2 linked regions of the Alligator mississippiensis genome follow. The protein of the gene in region 1 interacts with the protein of each later gene in a pairwise test. Links are inferred from orthologs where the notes say so. Each region holds a gene or a part of one and is shown in the gene's direction. Other genes may lie near its edges.

Region 1 (9,998 bases):
AAATATTGTGATCCAGCCTTTTAAATCATGAGATTCTTTCAAAAAAAAAAAAAAAAAAAGAAGGTACTTTGCTTTCTGAAATTATCACCTTTAAGTTATGTTTTCATGCATTTCTTCAACCATGAGGGCTAGAAATAACCTTCTTAAATCTAAGATTTGTCCTTCTCTACTTATATCTTAGGGCATCACTTTTCTCCAGAAGCTGGGGCTTTAGATTAAAAGAATAAAAATCATGAGAGTTGGCCACACTTAGCCTCTGCTCACATTGTAGAGAAGGGAAGAGACTGGAGAAGGACAAAGGAAAAGATGAAATTTATTTTTACACCCTGCCTGCTTCTCACAGGATAATCCCCGACCAAATCTTTTAATTACCAAGTACTTGGTTGCATTCAGCCACGTGGCTCTTCGTCTGCATTCCTTTCATTTTGAGTACAGGAGAAGAGAAACATGTTTTTGTCCAGTGGGTCCTGCCTTTCTCCACTCCCTCCCAGTGAATAGCATCGAGTGCCTAGATTCAAATCACCATCATTGCTAGCCAAACCCTTAAAATGCAAGTGGTTATAAAATATGCTTTGAGAAATGTTTTATGTCTAGTTGAGAGAGGAGCATTTCAAAGGAAAGCACAGTACCATATCTGGGTGGAAAAATCAAATGCACATACAGCCTCACAGTTGTTTGCCTCAAGTTGGCAAATAAGCCTTGCCTTTTCCTTTGCTCCTGCTGCCAAGATGGTTAGTGTGAGAAGGAGCTGGGTTACTGCTGAGGCAGCACAAAGCCCCAAAAAGCACTGAACCTCATTCAGTCACTTTGGCTAAGTACAGACAGTCAAAAAGCCTGAGGCTGAATTGATTCAGTCTTTGCAGGGTAGTCTAAACTGCAAAGATAGAACCAATAAACAAATGAACAGACATTCACTTTTGATTCAGGAAATGCAGCCACATGTCTGCAGTGGCTCAAGTCAGAAGCCAGGGGGTGCTACAGCATGGCTCTCTGGCACATAGGTAGCATGGGCTGTGTGTTCACTTCTTCTTCCTGCTGCCCCCGAGGTCTCTGGGATTTGCAGTCCAGAATCACAGCAGCAGGACTCTGCAGGGTTGCTTATCACTTCCTCTTCCAGGTGTCTCTGGGATTTGTAGTCCAGTTACAGCCAACAGTAAGAAGGGCAGGGCAGCTCTGTACTCGGCAGAAGGGAAGTTTAACTCCCCTCCCTGCCCCCAGGGGTTTACCTTCAGGGGCCAGTGAGCCAGCCCTCACTGCTCCAGCTAGGGAGCAGGGGGCAGGGCAAACCCTGCTCTCTGAAGCAGACAGCCAAGCCCAGCCCAGGGCTGCAAAATACTGGGATGCTGGGGGACTCTGACTTAACTTGAACCATGCTGATTCTGGTAAAGACAGCAATGATGAGGCACAGGAGAACCAGGTCAACTGTATGCTGATGGGCAGGGCTGTCTCGGGGGGGCAAATCAGGGCAACCACCCCAGGACCTGTGCTTTGGGGGGCCCTGCAGAGCTGGGCAGAGCGGCAGCTCCCCACCCACCTGCTCGCTATCCCCCACCCTGAACTGCTGATGCCGGCAGTGTCTTTGGGCCTGGGGCTCATGGGATCGGAGCGGGAGCAGGGCCCCACATGGCCTGATTTGCCCCAGGCCCTGCACCTTGCTTGGGTCAGCTCTGCTGATGGGTATGGTTTTGAGGCTGGATTCATCATGGCTGACTGAAAGCAGCTGCAGGGCAGGTGTGTGGATCCCATAGGGAATTTGCCTGGTACAGGAGCTCCTGACTCCAGGCACGGAGCCAGCTTTCTCAGCTCTGCACAGTCCTATGCCAAAGTCCTAGAAGGTGAGGGACAGTGTTGAGTGGTAGACTAGAAGCAGGAAGGAGGCTGGAAGGCAGGAGTAAGAATTACCTACATTGCAGCAGTTCTCTTTTATTGTAAACTCCCCTGGGGTCAATGCAGCAGGGACATGATACAGGGCTGCCCTATACAAGGAGCTGCATTGGCTCTTGCAGCCACTGAGCAAGGGAACTAAAAGTAAGCTTGGCTCTGCCCTGCAGCAGAGAGAAAATCTATCCTGGTTGTTCAAAAAAAGAACAAATGTTCTCTTTGCCCTTTCAGGGCACATGGCTATATGTCTTTTCTCTCTTCGTTTTCCTCAGTGCCTTTTCCACTGGTGTCCATTGTACTTCTCAACAGCAAAAGTTAAAAGGGAGAAGAGGAAGGGTGGGAACCACATTCCTCTAAGGCAGGGGTGGGCAAAATGCGGCCCGAGGGCTGGATGCAGCCCACCAAGCCATTCTATCCGGCCCACAGGGCCCCTAAAAAATTTAGAAAATTAATATTTATCTGCCCTGGGTTGCCTGTCATGTGGCCCGCGATGGCTTGCTAAAACTCAGTAAGAGGCCCTCTGTCCAAAATAATTGCCCACCCCTGCTCTAAGGTCAGATTTATGCTATAAACTTTTGCTATGTTGGTCAGGAGTCTGATGAGATCTGATTTGTGACCAAATTGCCACACTACAAGGGCAAGTGTAGATGCAGTTATACTGGTAAAACTGGATTTTACCAACAGCTTATTTCTCTTTCTGGAAGGGTAAGGAGCTATAAACTAAGCCATCAAAAAGCATGGTTTTGCACATGGGTGACTGGTGCCTCCTGAGTTTGGTAGGGGCACCAGCAAGCTGATCACTGGTGGCAAAACTGGAAGTGTTGCTGGCACTTTTCTCAGTGCCCCAACTCCCCGGCTGGCACCAATCTCCCAATCTTGGGGGGGACACCAGCTGGTGCGTTTCTTGGCGCCCCCACTCCCCAGTCAGTGAGGGCCAATCTTAGGGGTTGCATATGCTTCCTCGTGTTCCCCCTACACATTGCCTATGAGTATAAGCTGTGTCAGATATACTATCCCAGCAAAGCAGGATAGTTATACTGGCAAAGTTAGCTAAAAGTAGACCTGCCTTTAGTAAATTACTAGTTCCAGGGATTTTTTTCTAAGCCACCTGCAATGCATTACTTATGTTGTAATTGTAGGAAGAAACTACATGAATGTTATTTTAAAGTCACTTTTTGCCCCTCTACAAGCAAATGTAGAACTAGTAATTTATTACTCCTGCAATTTGTGGAAAAGGGAAGGACTAGTATGTGGTTAAAGTATAGGACTGGGAATAGGCTCTTTGGATTTTACTTTCAACTCTGCTATAAACATGTGATGACACATGCATCACTATTCCCCTTTCTTTTGCATTTGCTTCCCCATCTGAATCTATAAAATAGGTATTTGGTCTTGCTTAAGGTTGGCAAAATGCCTTGAGATTCTCAGATCTAAGGTGCCATCGATGTGCAAAGTATTGCAATGTATTGGGTCATTGTCAAGTAAAAAGTATACTGTGTTAAAAATCCCTCATCTGTTTTACTTACTAATTTGAGATTGTGAAAAATTCAGATGCTTGGACTAGGGTTGGCAAGATGGTCATTTGACTGATTAAACATTGTCAACTGACCAGTCAACTGACTACATATTTTTGACCCATCAAAGATTATAGCAATTTTACATCCCCCCCCCACACTTTTGTAGCTTTTTTGACAGAAATATGATTTTTTACAATTGGATCTTTTTTTACACATTTCTTAATGGAAAATTTGTGCATTTCTGTGTGTTATTTGGACCTATTAGCAATTTTTTTTACAATTTTTGACTGATATTTGACTGGTCAGTTGACTGAACTTTATTTGATCCGTCAAATACCCACCCTACCATGCATGGCTATCCTGAGTAAGTAAAACAGTTGACAGGGAGTAAGGCATACCTGTTTGTTTTGTTGGTTTTTTGCTCTCTTGGGGAATAAAGAGAGTGAAAGGAATAAGACTTGTGGGGAAATACATAGTTTCGCGGGAGCTCTGCAGGTTGAGTTTTGCTGGGAGCTGTTGACTTCAGCAGATTTGACTTTTGGAATGTGCATCAGAGAGGCACTTAGTGACAGGCAATGGGGTTTTCTGGCTACCTGTATAAAGCAAAATGATAATCAAATGCAGAGTAGCCTACCCTGGCTGCCGCACACTGGAACCATAGAACCCATGGGCAGATCTAGAATTTTGGAAAGCGAGGCAGAGATGGTGACATTCACCATAACATATAAAACAACACACATTTTCTTCCAGGTAAAAATATACAGGAAGCTCTACTAATATGCTGAAGGCCCCTAGGGCTATGTTATTTAGTTTAAGAATGAACAAAAAACACACAACTTCATTGGAAGGAGCCCAGAACCATCTGCAGTGCTGTGGAAAAGGGGCTTCCTTATATGGAGCAGCTAACAGACAAGGGAATAAAAGGATGGCTTGATGGGTGGAACATCAAGACAATTAAAAAGAGAGGGTGGTTAACACTGGGCTGAGAAGGGATCAGGTAGATAATGAGCCAGGAAGTCAACTGGCTCCCTCAGCACCAGGCGACTAGAAATGCTGCTGCCACTGCCAGGCAGCTGGTTTTAAACTCTGGGTTTAGCAGGAATCAAGGGAGGGGGGGGAGTTGCAACTGCACCAGTGCAGCACCCTCCTAGACCCCCAGACGCATAGGGTTGGCAGGGACCTGTGGGGGTCCTCTGAGCTGATGACAAGGAGTATTTTAAAATAATAAAAAAACAATAAGGATACTCCCACAGACAATCTTTCTTTGAGAGGTAAAGCATTTAGTAACAGCTCTCTGCCTTGGGTGTCGAGCTGCAGGAACAGAAGGAGCTCGAAGCTGCCTCCGGGAGGCCGCTCTTCAGTTTTCACTCGGTCTTCGGCTAGGGAAGAGCAAGGCTGAAGGCAGCCATGTTTCCGCTGCAGACCCAAGGGCCCTAGCGCTGGGCTTTTGTTTTTTAGCACTGAGCGTGGCTTCCTTTTTGAGACCTCTGTGTTCCCCTTGTGCCTCGCCTTTGCCCCCCTCGCAGCGCGGGGCGCCTCTGAAGGGGTCTCGGGGCACCCGCGGGCGAGGGTATTGCGCGGGGGGTCTTTCAAGTAACACTGGTGCATTATTAGAGCCTCTCAGCACGTGCGGCTGCGGCCGGGGCACAGCACAGCGGAGGCAGGAGGGCGCGTGCCGCGGTGGCCGCCAACGCCCAGGGACACGGGACCGGCAGTGGCCCCGGCCCGGCCCGGCCCGGCCCAGTCCGCCCGGGGGTGCGGTGCGGTGCGGTGCGGTGCGGCCGAGCGGTGGCTGCGCTGCGAGAAGCGGGTCGCCATAGCAACCGGCAGCGACTGGAGTCAGTCGTTTCCTGTGGAAAAGTGTCCGTGGGGGGAGCCGTCCCGCCCCGCCCCGCCCGGCTCGGCGCGGCGCTGACAGCGGGAGAAGGGGGCGGCTACGGCCGGGCGACCCGCGCGGCATCAGCCGCCGCCTCCCGCCCCAGCCGCGGCGGCGGGATCGCGGCCGCCGCCCTGCTCTCCGGCCCGGCCCCGCGGGCACAGGTCGGTGCGGTGCGGTGCGGTGCGGTGCGGGACGGGACGGGGCGGGGCGGTAGCAGGGGCGTTCCCCGCCCGGACAGTTCTCCTCATAGCCACTGCGCTGCCCCTGCCCGGGAGGTGTGGCAGTGCCTAGGTACCCGCCAGCCTGGCTTGGTCTCCGCTAGTTTGGGAGGCCTGGAGCAGAGCGCAGGGCTGCGGTGACCCCTTCTTTCATCTGATGCCCTTCATGCCGCCCCCCCCTTGCCAAGCCCCAGGCCTGTTTCTGTAGCTGTTCTGTTTGGCGGGTTCATCTTCAGGGCCGGGTCCCTCCTTCCACCCAGCGTTTGGGTTTAGAGGCAGAACAAAGCCTCCAGGCAGGGGCTGGGGGCACTAGGTGTCCAGGGCTGGTTCCCGGGTGCTTTCTCCACAGGGGACCCAGTGGGCAAGCTGCACAGGACACAGGTGGGCATGCTGGCAGTGTGCATTGATCCTGAGCCATCCCACTGAGGCCGGATACGAGTAAACCCTGCCAGTCCTTCATCATCAACCAGAGAATTTAAAAAGGGCTGTGCAGTGGGTGAAGCAGTCCTTCCCCGGCTGAGCGAGACTGGGGGCTAAAGAGGTCTGAGCATCTAAGGGCAGCTGCACCTCTTCGTGGATAAGACTTCTCTCTCGCTGACTCCCCTGCCTTCTTCCAACCTCTGTAGTGTTCGTTCTGTAGCCTGGCCTGATAATGCTCTGATTAAAGACACATAAGGCCAGCACCAAGTCAGATCACCAGCATCAAATGAGATTTAAATTGCAAGCATGTAAATTAGAGGGTATTCTGCTGAAGAGGAAACCAGTGCAAGATGCTCTCTCTGAATTACAACTGCATATTTTCAGTTGATTTATTTGTATTGTGATAACTCTTGAAGGCCTCTGCCAGGATCACAGCATAGTGTGGTAGAGAGCAGAGCTGGTAAAAGCCTGATGTTTGTTTCTTGGTCCTTGTGCTTGGTGATGCGCAGATTCGTAGGAAGGCTGCTGGTTCATCTTGTCATAGGAACACGCTCCCTCCCCAACCCAGGGGCAGTGGATGATCTCTGCCCTGAATAACTCATGATCTAAGAAGTTATTAAACCAAATTTTAGTAGTGAAAGAAGCTGGAAATAAGAGAGGAATTACTGGGTGAATGATGAGCACAGTGTGTGTAAAATCTGTTTTTCAGTATTTCTTGTAATAAATCCCTAGCATTAAATCTGGATAGTTGCAAGATGGTTTGGGGTTAGGGTTGAGTTTGCGGCACTGCTGTTTGCATAACCTGCTGGAGTATTTCACCTTGGACTGTTACCTTTCTTCAGCTGGTATTTGATCCAGTACTGACCCCAAACCTTTCTTTGCACTGATTCCCAGGCCCTGAGGTGCCGGTCTGCTTGGGAACCCTATGCCATGATTACATCTTGCGAGACCTGGGATTGGAGACTCAATCTCTCAGAGAGAGACCTGTGGAAAAAGGACCTCCCTCTAGACGGTGAGTATCATGCAATGGCTCATCCTCCTTCCATGCCCGGCCCACTCCTGCTCCTGCCCTTTCTCACACTCTGGCAAGGAGAGACTTGAAAACCAGTGAGTCCACATTTCTGACATTGTTTTTCAGATGTCAGAGATGAAACTAAGATTTGGGGAAACTGATTCCCATACAAATGTAGGCTGTTAGGTAACAACAGGATTCAGCTGATAAAGGTGCTGCTGTGCTGAGGGTGCTGCCCTCTCTTCTAATGAGAAGCCTTGGGAGAAAAGTTAAATTTTAACACGTGAAAGAAATGATTATCTGTGATTTGTACAACAAAAAAACACGTGGCTTCTGGTCGTCCTTCATCTCGGCTCCTTGGAAGGGTGTGTTGTCTCCCAACCGCATATAAACCAAATAGGTAAGTTTAGTTTTTGTGTGGTGTTCCACAGGGACTGAAATGTTTTCAAAAAGCAGCTGAAAGAACTGAAAGCTGCTTGTTGAAACCTGCCGCTGCTTGTCTGGGGTTCCACACAGCTAGCGCTGTTGTCTCATGCTAGTCTCGGACTTCAGGGTCACTGTGGGGCTAAATGCTAATGCCAGGCTTCTGGAAGAGATATTTTTGATGGGAAACTTACTGTTTGCTCTGATATTTTAAGTTCTTAAGCTTTGGCAGTAGCTTATCTGACAGTTGTACCTGCTTTGATATAGAAAGGTTGTTTTAACTCTTGCCGACCATAAAAATATGTTTGAGAGGCAGGGCAGTTGCGGGGGTGGAGGGGTTGAAAATGCATTTTTTCTCATTTCCTCACTGACCTTTCTGCATTCCTTTGGTATTAGGTGGACAGGATGGTGGGTATTGAGGAACAGAAAGGTGGAGAGTGGATGTTGTGTGTGATTAAAATCTGGCTATGTCCTGCTTGGTGCTGAAATAATAAGGCATACTATTTGCATATACACATCACTAGTCATCCTACGATCCACAAGTTCTTTTGAAAACATTAGTTCTTTTTCACTGTATGAAATATCATTGTTCCTATATACAGACAGTTAAAGAAACATAGTGAGAGATGAAGTGATTTAGCAGAAATTATCCATCTGTCTCTGCCCTTACAGCTTTTGTCACCTTTAGTCTCTTGAGTGCTTTTCAATTACAGTATTTAAAAACCAAAACTGTAACAAGAGTCTCTCTCTGTTACTTTCCCAATTACAAAATAAATTACTTTGATTAATTGATGGTAGGGGGTTGTGTATTCATGATGGAGATGAACTGATCAAGGAAAATCTAAATCAAAGAGAGAGTTTTGCATTTAGTTCTGAACGTTTTATTTATTTATTTTCCAGAAACTGGTTCCGAAGTGCAGGTTTTGTTCCTCTCACTTACAAGTTTTCCTCTGCTGGCTGGTGTATTAATTGTCTGAATGCGAAATAGCTGTCATAGATAGTGATGGTCACAGAGGGAGAAGTATTCTCTTGGGTAGCTTGTGCCACTTTATGGCGATAAAGTTGAGGTCATGATGATTTGTGTTACTTAAGCAGAGAGTTGCTATGATTTTGTAGCAGCTAAAGCTTTTTCAGGGCCTTGGGCTGCATTTTTAGTTGGAATGATTTATAATCAAGCCCAGACGTCACTGGCGAGTAGTTCGCCATGACCAACCCTTAGCATGGACTATAATCTCTTGTCCACTTGGAGGTGTCTTTTGCAAATTTAATGATTCATGTATCCAGTACTACTGAGCAATACCCCAAAGCATCACCTTACAGTTTTGGGATAATAGATGCTTGTGAGGACTGGGGATGATGCTGACAAGACAGGTTCTTTAAGGTGCTTCCGTCTTACCAGCATCATTTCAGCCTTCCTTGGGATCATCCCAGCTGAGCATTGAGAGAGCTGTTAGATGATCCTTCTTCCTTCCCCACCCCCAAGGGAGCTTTTCTCTTAATTTGGGCTAACAGTGAACAGAACAGTGATTTTGCTTCTAGATTGTCCTGTCTGGTTCTGGTTCTGTGGTGAACAGAGCATGTGGTATGAGGTAAGGTGTGGGAAGATGAGGTAAGCCAGCACTTCTGTACCTGCACTCTTAATCAGACAGGTTTCTGTGATACAGATCAGGTCAGACAACTTATTTTGGGTAAGATCTTTGATAGTGAAGTCACATGGCAGGCAAATGGCAAAAATAGGAGGAGAACACAGGAGTCCTGACTGCCAGTCTCTTTGTATGAGGTTTTGCCTGAATAGAAAAGTTCAAGTGTCTCCCAGGCTTGTGGATTGAGAGTTTGTATAAATCAGTCTTGGATTCTTTACAGGTTTCTACATAAAGATACAAGGACAGATTGTAGAAGCTACAGTTTTAATTCCCATAACATGTATGGATTTGCTAACAGATTTTACTTGCCCTAGAGGACTCAGGTCTCTCATTAGCATAGCAAACATTTCAATAATGCTTACTTCTTGAATAGTACTTTACATTTTCTAAACAACATGCTAAGAAGAAAGAATGGGTCTTTTGTGAAATGAATATGACAGCACTCTTGCTCACTCAGCTGAAGCTGTATCTTTGCTTAATTTTTCTCAGCCCTTTTCCTCCCCTCCCCCTACTTTAGTATGTGTGAGAGACCTGTGGCTGAGATTTCATACAAAGCTCTCAGTTTCTCCATTAACCTGAAGTATTTTGGGCAGCAGGAGTTGAAAGCTTCACTGTAGTTGTTAATGACTTTGGCTGTGAGCCAGAGAAGGGAGGGGGCTGAATACCAGCTTGAGTTACTAGCATGATGATGGATGACATGGAACAGAATGGGGGGGGGGGGGGGGGCAGAGACAGCTTGAATGAGACCAGATCCCTAAAGGAGACCCTCCTCACTTTTCAGCAAGACAAGGTGTTCCTAGCCAGTCTCCAGTTAGTCAGTTTGTTTAACATTGTTTTTTGTTGTGTGATGGAGTGGAGAGGATTCATTCACCAGTGGCAGTGAAGAGAGCAGCTCTGCCCAGTTTCCTGTGCTGCCTACGGTGGTCCAATGTAAAATCCTCCATATGAACTGGTCTGACCTTGGGGGCCCACACAGCCTCTACCTGACTCTACCGGTAAGGACTC
Region 2 (10,206 bases), on another chromosome or scaffold:
GATCCAAGGAGGTGATACTTCCCCTCTATCGGGCGCTGGTCAGACCGCAGTTGGAATACTGCGTGCAGTTTTGGGCGCCACACTTCAAGAGGGATGTGGATAACCTGGAGAGGGTCCAGAGAAGGGCCACTCGTATGGTTAAGGGCTTGCAGGCCAAGCCCTATGAGGAGAGACTGGGGCACCTGGACCTCTTCAGCCTCCGCAAAAGAAGGTTGAGAGGTGACCTTGTGGCTGCCTATAAGTTCATCACGGGGGCACAGAAGGGAATTGGTGAGGTTTTATTCACCAAGGCACCCCCGGGGGTTACAAGAAATAATGGCCACAAGCTAGCAGAGAGCAGATTTAGACTGGACATTAGGAAGAAATTCTTCACAGTTAGAGTGGCCAAGGTCTGGAATGGGCTCCCAAGGGAGGTGGTGCTCTCCCCTACCCTGGGGGTCTTCAAGAGGAGGTTAGATAAGCATCTAGCTGGGGTCATCTAGACCCAGCACTCTTTCCTGCCTATGCAGGGGGTCGGACTCGATGATCTATTGAGGTCTCTTCCGACCCTAGCATCTATGAAACCTATGAAGCACCCTCGTGCCCCAGCCAGCTGGGGCAGCATCTAAACATTCAGTGCTGTGGCATAAAAAAACTCTGCAGAACGATAGTACTTGTATTTACAAGTACTACCCTGCTGCAGAATTTATTAGTTTCCTCCAGAGTCATAGGACCACACATTTAGAAGCCAAGAGGTTTACTGCAGAGCTAATTAGTCTACTCAACAGTAAACACTTCATGTAGATGCACTCAACATGTATCAATTCTAGATGAAGTACATGCATGGTTATTATATACAAATTATCATAGTCATGTTTAAAGTCAAGGTTATTGTTTCCAAGTTTGTTCCTCACTTCCACGAGCTCAGGGAGAGTGTGGTTTGACAGTAAAGAGGGGCAAGGGGCTGCTAGGGGAAACAGTTGGGGGGAAGCAGAGAGAAAAGGGAGTACCTCACCCTCCAGATTTCTTTTCCCGTCACCCTCCAGATTTCTTTTCCCTGCTGTTGCAGTGGAAGGGGGACAAATTCAAGGCAAACTTCCAATAATTAGATTCTATAACTAAACAATTATAACTATTTTATATATTTTACATCTATAGAATCTATTTTGGGGGGGAGGGGGGCGTTGTCTTATAATCTTCTATTTGACTAAATAAGGTTTTATGCCAGTTTCTACTAGCGGAAATATAATTAACGATTTGCCCAAGATTACATATGAAGTCTGTGTCAGAGCTCCGGACTGAGCCCAGATCTCCCAAAATTTACAAAAACATCCTCTTCCTCTATAAAATGTAATAAAGTGTATTTCTATTTAGACTCTAGCCTATATAGGGTGTCCTCTTTCCAGAAACGGCTACTGATATTTCTAGACCCTAAACACTAAGAAGAGAAAGGAATTTATTAGAGATGAACCAGGGAGTTCTCCTAAGACTAACAAGATGGAACTGAGATAAGGAAAGTGCTGCAGGAAAAACACAAAAATATCTTTTTTTAAGTGAGATCCATTTGTCAAAAAATCTCTCAAGGACAGCCCCACTATTTTGGTCATTAAAATTGAGACTGGACACAAAAATCATTACAAGCATATAATGGCCCTGGGGTATGAATCAAATGTTTTTTTGTAATGCTATGACCGTGTGAGGAAAAACTATTTTTCAGTCCATATATTTTTCCATTGTGTTCCCAGTTCAAATTACTGGGGATAGGGGAACCTGAAAATATTGCCTTAATATATCCGCAGCTCTAGGTATTTTCTGGTAAAAGTGAAACTCTAACATCATCTTACATTTATGCAGCAGCTTTCATACCAAAGTATCCCCAAACATTTTATAAACAGTATAGAGCAAAATCAATTCACTCAGCCACTGAAATGTAGATACCTCTGAGGCAAAGCTCAGGTGATTATGTAGTTTTTAATGTCTATCATTTAAATATGTTTAAAATTCTTATTCAAAAACACACCTAAAGGGAAAAGTAAATGGAACTTCTTTAGGGATAGGATTAGGGATGCAGAATTGTGGAAAACAACTTCAAACACGTCTGCAACACCACATACCGCATGTTCAGCTGTTCTCTGCATTGCAAGGGAGCAGGTGGGGATGGGGGTGACCCCTTGATATCCAGGGGTCAAAAAAATCCTACGCCATAGAAAAGCAGAATGGTGCATGCAGGGGCAGTGCACACCACTGAAAACCAGAGCCTGGCTGGCCGAAGCCACACTCTAGCTACTGGCCAGGCTCTGAGCAGCAGGATCATCACTACTGCAGCCCCAGGAGCCCCCAGAATCCCAGGTAAGGCTGTTGGGGCAGCCCAGTGCTGGCCCCAGTCTCCCCTATCCCACCCAGGGCAACCTGCCATGCACCAGAGGGCATGTGGCACAGGCATTCCCTGTGGACAACTAGCAGTGGCACAAGGTACACTGCTGCTAATTGTCCCCAGGGAACCAAACATCCACATTCGTGTGAACACGGCCTATTTGCTTAAAATTAAAATATAAGATTTAGTCCTAGGAATGGGCAAACAGTTGGAATAGTGTAACATGGATTAGTGATGAGTGTGCTATATTCATGGTGGCAAAACAGCCGTAAAAATAATAGTAGTATTGATAATAGAAAGTAATAAAGTAATAGAATGACAAGAGAACCGACCTCATAAGAATATAAGAGCATAAGAAGTGCCATACTAAATTAGACCAACAGTTCATCTAGCCCAGTGGTTCTCAACCTGCTTAGGCTCAAGGCACCCCTAAATATACTTAAGGCATCCCTCATTAGGCTCAAGGCACTATTCAGAAATGTCAACTCTTAGTTGTCATTCATGTTTGACTGCAGAAAAATAACAGCATGATTCTTTTGTTGCAAAGAATGCAGAAGGACTACAACCGTTTTTAACACTATGTATTCCTATTTGAAATCTCTATGGGGGTATCTACACATGTACTTGACTGTGAAGTTCACTAATTAGCTCTGCAGTGAAGCATCACCGTCTACACATTCAATGCTATTAGGCCACAGTAAATTAATTACCTCTGCTGTCGGATAGTACTGCCTGGCATAAGTACTACCTTATGGCGGAGTTATTTAGTGCACTGAAAAGCACATGTAGATGCTTTGTTGTTTTCTGATTTCTCTAAATGTACCAATACCCTCCCACTCTGTCCCAGGTTAGGGTTAGAGTACTTTGAGTATAAACCAGGATGACCCAGGAGGTACAGATGAATTCAAGCACTTGCAATTATTCCTTTTGAGATTCTGTGACCAGTTGGTTACAATGATCAGACTAGTTTGATTTCCCAAAACAAGTACCACCTCTCCTGAGAGAGCACTCCTTTTTAAACCAGCCAGGGCTTTTTTGATCTCCTGTAATCTTGGGCCTTTTTCTGTCCTGGTATTACCTCTTAAAATCTTTAGCAGTCTGCTAAGTGCAGGAAAAGCCTGACTGGGCAGCCGGGGCAACTCAAGGAACCTAAGGGCTCAAGCCAAGGGTAGGGGAAAGCTGAGGAGGAGTTTTACTCAAGCACTACCCATTCCACCCCCTTCCCTGCCAGCAGCGCACAACTGGCCACTGGTTGAGTGGCTGAGTGCAGTGGTGTGCACGTGCCCAGGTGCCCAGCTGTCATACTAGCCAGAGGTGCCAGCCACCCAATAAGCCAGTTGGGACAGCAAGTGAGGCCAGCATGAATCCCCCAAGCTAGCATAACAGCTTGGGGATACTAGGGAGGTAGCAGCTGGGCAGCGGGCACGCAAGCAAGTAGCAGGACCTCATTATTTAATTAACCTCCCTTATTCTCATCTGGTGCCTATGAGAAAACCCTGACTGTAGGCAGCTGCTGGGGCTCAGGGAACCAGAGGGCTCAAGCGAAGTGGGGAAGAAGCCAGTGGGGGCATCACTTAGGCAGCACCAATTCCCTTTCTTCCCCACCAGCAGTGCACACCTGGTCACTGGCTGAGAATGCTTGTCCACCTGCCTAGCTCCCATGCTGTCCAGAGGAGCCAGCCAGCTGCTGGGGCTGGGGACAGTGGGACAGTGAGCGAGGCCAGCATGAATCCCACCTCCACGCCAGCAGGACAGCCAAGGGAGTTTGCAGCAAAAAGACAAGAAGCCATTGTTTAATTAATAGTGTTCCGCATTCTCAGTTTTTACCAATTTTTCACTAATAAATTTCCTGATTTTTTTAAAGCCATTTGGTTGTTACTAATTGCACCCGTTTTTCAGTTCAAATGGCCCATTCCCCACTTGTGCCAGTTAACAGGGATTTGAACTGAAAAATGGGTGGTGCTGGTGAACTAAAAGTGCCGCTGTGCCAGTTACCCGAGACACAGGTTTCTGGCTGGACGTAGGGGTGGGGTGACAGTGGCTGCACGGGAGTTGGGGGAGGGTGGCTGGAGCCGCTGCCTAACAAGAAATCTGACCAACCATTGTGTTTAATTTTCAGGTTTTGTTTTTTTTTTATATTATTTTTTCATGAAAAACATGGTTAGAGAGAAGGTTAGTGAACTTAGGACTACCTGCAAGAGAAGGTTGAGAGGCGACCTTGTGGCTGCCTATAAATTCATCACGGGGGCACAGAAGGGAATTGGTGAGGTTTTATTCACCAAGGCGCCCCCGGGGGTTACAAGAAATAATGGCCACAAGCTAGCAGAGAGCAGATTTAGACTGGACATTAGGAAGAACTTCTTCACAGTTCGAGTGGCCAGGGTCTGGAACGGGCTCCCAAGGGAGGTGGTGATCTCCCCTACCCTGGGGGTCTTCAAGAGCAGGTTGGATATGCATCTAGCTGGGGTCATCTAGACCCAGCACTCTTTCCTGCCTGTGCAGGGGGTCAGACTCGATGATCTATTGAGGTCCCTTCTGACCCTAACATCTATGAATCTATACCTGCCTATGCACAATCAGTAGAAATCAAGAAAATCCCTTACAATGGACAGAAAATGTAAGATATTCAGATATTCAAGTGCAAATAAACCTGTTTTAAGAATGAAAATACATGGAATTCAGAAAGTGCTTTTCCTTCACATAAAAGCCATACTATATTAAATCAAAGCCCATGAAAATAAGTACCATCTAAGTACCGTAAGTTATTTGCATAGCAATGTGAAAACCGTTTCAGGTTATTTTGCACCAGCGCAGTTACTTGTTTAGAAGAAAAATGGTAATTACATTGTAGCCTGCCTTCTGCCTATTGTATTATCTACCGATAACAGCGCTTCCACATACAGCTTTGCGTCTCCGCTTCCCCTCATCGTGCTCATCAAACCAAAAGGAAACGTTTTTCCCTGGGTGAATTACACCGGGCTCAACGAGACAAAATTCACCTCAGGCTGGGCCCGGCTAGCACGGCTCATCCTAGCTGTGGGCCAGAGTCATGGCTGTAACCTCCCGCCGCACGGAAACGGTACCGCTCCTACACGCTGGCTCTGTCTGCGCAGATTTCAAGCCGCACCAAGGTATCACAACGGTACAAATTAAGCCTCCTTTATTGGGACGCAAAGTTTTGACTGTGTTTTCACGGTGTTGCCCTGGTCTCACACAGTCTTTTCCATGTCCCCTTGCACCCGGGCGTGCCGCTTCCCCGGAGGGCCAGCTCTTCACACCACCCAGGGCCCACTTCAGCCTCCACCATGCAACCCAGCCAGAGCCCGAGCTGGCATATTTGCAAGACAACACACTTGCCCCTTTACTGCCCAGTCTCCAGCCAAGCCTACTCTCCTCACCCCGCCTCCAGACAGAGAGCCCCAGACCTGGTGCACTCACAGCCTATAACCCCTCACCCCAACGCTGCCACGACCCCCTCTCCATGTCCTCCTCGCTGCCCCTCCCGCGCCCCGCCCCCAGCGCCGAGGCCCCGCCCCCGTCCCGCCGACGCTCCCGCGGCGTGTTCGCGTTGCCCCGGTAACGGCGGCGGGAGCCGGGGCCGGGAGCGCGGCGGGAAGCGCCCGGCGCGGAGGATGGAGGCCCGGTGAGCAGCTGTGGCGCGGGCCGGCTCCTGACAGGGCCCCGCAGCGCCCGGTGACCGCACGGAGCCGTGAGCCCCCTGGCAAGTTGCCCCGGGTGGGGTAGGGCAGGCTGGGCCAGCCCCAGCAGCCTTCCCTGGGTCCTGGGGGCCTCCCGGGGCGCTGGCTGGCCAGGCTCTGGTTTTGCCTGCGCTGTTGCACTTCTTTGTGGCATGTTTGTTTGTTTTTTTTAAGAGACTGGGATTTCCCAGTATCAGATATTGGTTCCTTGTCACCTGCGCCGCCTCGCCTGCCTTTTGCGGCACGTGCCCGCTGGTCCCCAGAAGAAGGACACAGGGGGCAGGTTTGTAACAGGGCAGGGAGCAGAGCTCTGCTCCTAGTCGGGTTATTTCTGTTTCACAGCCCTGTGCGCTGTTAGTTTTGGGGGTTTTTTTTAACTTTAGCTAAAAACATTAACTCAGGTGTGGAAATGTTAACTCGGGTGCGCGTTAGGTCAGGTGCAGAAGTCGCTGTCCGCGGAGCATCGGCGGCGCTCTGCGGGTGTTCCAGAAGGCATGATTTTGTTCTCTGAATCTGAAAAAGACACACGCATTTAACATGAGTGACTCCAGGATTAATGAAGCAGCATTTTTGGATTATTTTTTTCCTTGTTTGTTGTGTGTTTATATATGATATTGCCACATGCCAACAAATGCCATTATATATGATATGCCACATGCCATTATATATGATATAATCCACATGCCATCAAAGTTTTTTGTTTGTTTTTTGCTTCAGTTTCAAAGTGAATAACTAGCTGTAGTCCCCGCCTTATTAATGAAGCATCTTGCTTATCTTTATCTGTAGAGAAACATGTGTTCTGTTTTATATGATGCACCACAGCATCTGCACCCCTCTCCCCCTTTTTCAAAATCCTAGATCTGCCCCTGTAAGTGATAATTACTTTGCATGTGTGGCCAGTCTAAATTTATTGCGGAATTAACCAGTTAACTATATAATATATGTAGCATGTAGCAGGAGCCGGAGTGTGGCACGCAAGTCTACCTGCAATGTGTCGTAACGGTTGTTGTAGAGAGGAAGCAGTGGCTTGGTGTGTCTACACATGCATTTTAATGCGTATTAGCCTATTTTGATGCATATTTAAGTGTCACAAGAAGTGTGCTGTTGCTAATGCACATTAAGATAAGCTAATGCACCTTTTTCTAGTACTTCACAATGAAGATACTAAACTTAATGCGGATTAGCAAAAGTGCATTAATGAACATGTAGACATGCCCACTGTGAACCAGCTTAATAAAAGATTCATCTAATAAACTAGGGACTGTTCTCATAATTTTTTATTTATATATTTATTTATTATTTTTATTTTATGCATTTATTATTTACTTGTTTATAATATTTTTGGTATTTTCATTTCTTCATGTATTTAGTAAAAATAAGCATTTTTATTTACTTCCCTAATAAAAAAGGGAAAGTGGTGAGGGCTTTTGCTTATAACTTTTTTTTAATGTTTTTTTTTAAAAAGTTGTTGCTAAGCAACAAAAACATATGTTTAAATATCGAGTTATTTCCAAAACCTGTGCTCCTAAAAGCAAGGAAATTAATTGTTAAGGGTATAATCAGACATTGCTCACATAATTAACTCCTTGTTCATCCTGGGTGCTTTTATACATGTGCTTTACTGTGGAGTTGACTAATTAACTCTTCAGTAAAGTGTCCTGGTCCACATGTGCTCCTATATTTAGGGATCAGTAAATTAATTAGCTGCAGTAAGATAGTACTGTCTAGGGCAAGTACTACAGCGGAGTAATTTATGGTGTCTCAACACACATGTTGACAGTGACTGAGGCTGACTGGGGCATGAGAGTGCTAGTGTGAGGGCTGCACTAGTCCTACACTGTAGCACCCTTGTGCCCTAGTCAGCCCCTCCACTGCCCAACGCCAGTCTGGGGCTGCTGTACCTTGGCTCTAACTGCTGCAGTTCTGGGTGCACGTGTTTGCACTGTGCTTGGGAGCTGCTGACTGGTGTGAATTGTACCAGAATGTATTGCTCCATGTTAATTGCATGTGTGGATGCACCCACTGGGCATATCTACATGAGACATTTACTGCACAGTAGACTAATTAGCTGCATAGTAAATATCATGCTTCTACACATGCACTCCCATTAGGCTGGAGTAACTTAATTAACTCTGCAGCAGACTAGTACTTGTAAATACAAGTACTATCCTGCCATGGAGTTTTTTTACATGTAGACACTGCCCCGGTTGGCTGAGGCAAGAGGGCACTTCAGTGCAGGGGCTGCCCACTTGCTAGCATGATGTTGAAGCACCCTCTTTCCCCAGCTAGCCCCTCCACAGGACATTAAGCAAGGGGGAGCAGCCCTGAGCTGGCAGGCTGATCCCCCAAGCCCACTGCCAGCCAGGGCTGCTCTGACCTGGCTCAATGTGCTGCGGTTCCAAGTGCACATTTCAACAGTGCACCCAGAAGCAATAAAACTCCAGAGCAGTAAGCTCCGGAGTTTATGTATATACGTTAATTGCATGCATAGATGTGCCCGCTGAGTAGTAAAAATGCGCTTTTCCTCACAACTGAGCAGTCTTTTCTTTGATACAAAATAAATACCATTCTTCCACCAGAAGTCTCAAAATATTAATACAACAAAAAATATTTCTAAAAAAAAGAAATGGAAACATAGGTGAGATTATGAATTCAGTACAAGGGATAAACAATACCATACAAATCAATTACTTCTTAAAAGTGGTGGGATCTGGCCCTATATAGTGATCAAGTTCAAATACACTACCTAATATGTTTATAACTATATTGCAGTCTATCCTGTTCACTGGTACAAAGGAACACAAAGGGACATAAAGCATCTCTTTAGTCCCTTCCACCAGTGTCCCATAGTGTTTCTTCCTGCTTGCGGCGCAAAGCAGGGCCATCGCCCTTATCCTTAGTTGATGCCACACTGTATGGTGTAGTGATGCTGTTGCTGTATTATGCTGTAAAGCTGTAATAGAGCTGTTGTCGTGTGCTCTCTTCTTGGAGAAGTAGAAAAACCAAGGGGGTGATTTTGCATGTGAATAAATGAACTGTGTTATTTTAATAGGAGAAGGAAGCAATTTACTGCTTATTTGTTATCACTGATTTGTCTGCTTCTATCCTGGAAATGAAATCACAGCACCTTACCTCCAAGTTAAACAGGGTTAAATCATTTCAGTTTAGCTACACTTTCTGAGGGATGGGAAAATACTGATGAAACAATTGCAGTGGATCAACAGAGGCATGTTCATGAGTGATTAAGACCCTCCCTACTCTACCTCAGCATAATTGTTCATCACTCCATGGCTCCAGACCCTGACCTTTTCCAGGCTGGTCTTATTATGGGCTAGCAGGCAAACTGATGATCTTCCATAATCTATAAATCAACAGTATAACACACATAATTATTCTCAACATATAGTAATTCTAAGTAAATTGTAAAATATTCTGTCTATATATATGACTGAGATTTTCCATTTAACACTGTTAAAATTATACAAAAATCAATATAACACATTAAGACAGTTATTTAAAATTGCAGGTCAGAAAATTGTTTTACTGTTCTGAAACGGGCATTTCTTTATACTTCATAAAAGTAATGCATTTATTTAATAGAAAATTATATGTAATATATTACATCTTAATAAAATGTATTACCATATTTACTTGAATATAAGACAAGGGTTTTTCCCAGTCAGCATAGCAAAGCCCTTCCACTTATAGTCATAAACAAGAAAACATCATTAAATATATTGCTTATCATTAAACTTTTGCCAGAAGCAATGTGTGCTCAGTAGTTGAAACCAACTATGAAGCTGGCTGAATACAACCGATAGAGAGCATGCCTATAAAACACATGACCCAAACATGCTGATAAATAAATAAATAAAAGGTGTTCATCTACAAATTTTATTTAAAAAACCCATTTATCACCCTACACTTGCATAGTGTCACATATCACAAAAACAACTACATATTGAAAACATACAACTACATATATTAAACCCTTAAACAACATACAGCAACTTCCCACAAAAAAACTCTTACAAAACTTCTTTTCTCCATACAGAACCCCATGAAAAACGATTACCTCAGTAACTACCTGAAACTCTTTGCCCTCCTACCAGTCCTCTCTATTGGTTCAGTGAAACAAGTATGTCCAGTCCTTTT

What was found.
Region 2: the proteins of KIFC3 (region 1) and DEUP1 interact in binary tests that used the Homo sapiens proteins (3 or more experiments, as listed by UniProt). The two-hybrid records come from large-scale screens. The link is inferred for Alligator mississippiensis from reciprocal best matches to the Homo sapiens genes KIFC3 and DEUP1.

The regions. Positions count from the first base shown.
Region 1 is NC_081833.1:38,413,879-38,423,876, reverse strand, and holds the start of KIFC3 (kinesin-like protein KIFC3), read left to right. Parts: upstream 1-5,322; 5' UTR 5,323-5,438; intron 5,439-6,809; 5' UTR 6,810-6,927; intron 6,928-7,006; exon of another isoform or gene 7,007-7,327; intron 7,328-9,998. UniProt on the Homo sapiens protein: Minus-end microtubule-dependent motor protein. Involved in apically targeted transport. Required for zonula adherens maintenance.
Region 2 is NC_081824.1:448,091,336-448,101,541, forward strand, and holds the start of DEUP1 (deuterosome assembly protein 1), read left to right. Parts: upstream 1-5,934; 5' UTR 5,935-5,985; coding exon of another isoform or gene 5,986-5,996; intron 5,997-10,206. UniProt on the Homo sapiens protein: Key structural component of the deuterosome, a structure that promotes de novo centriole amplification in multiciliated cells.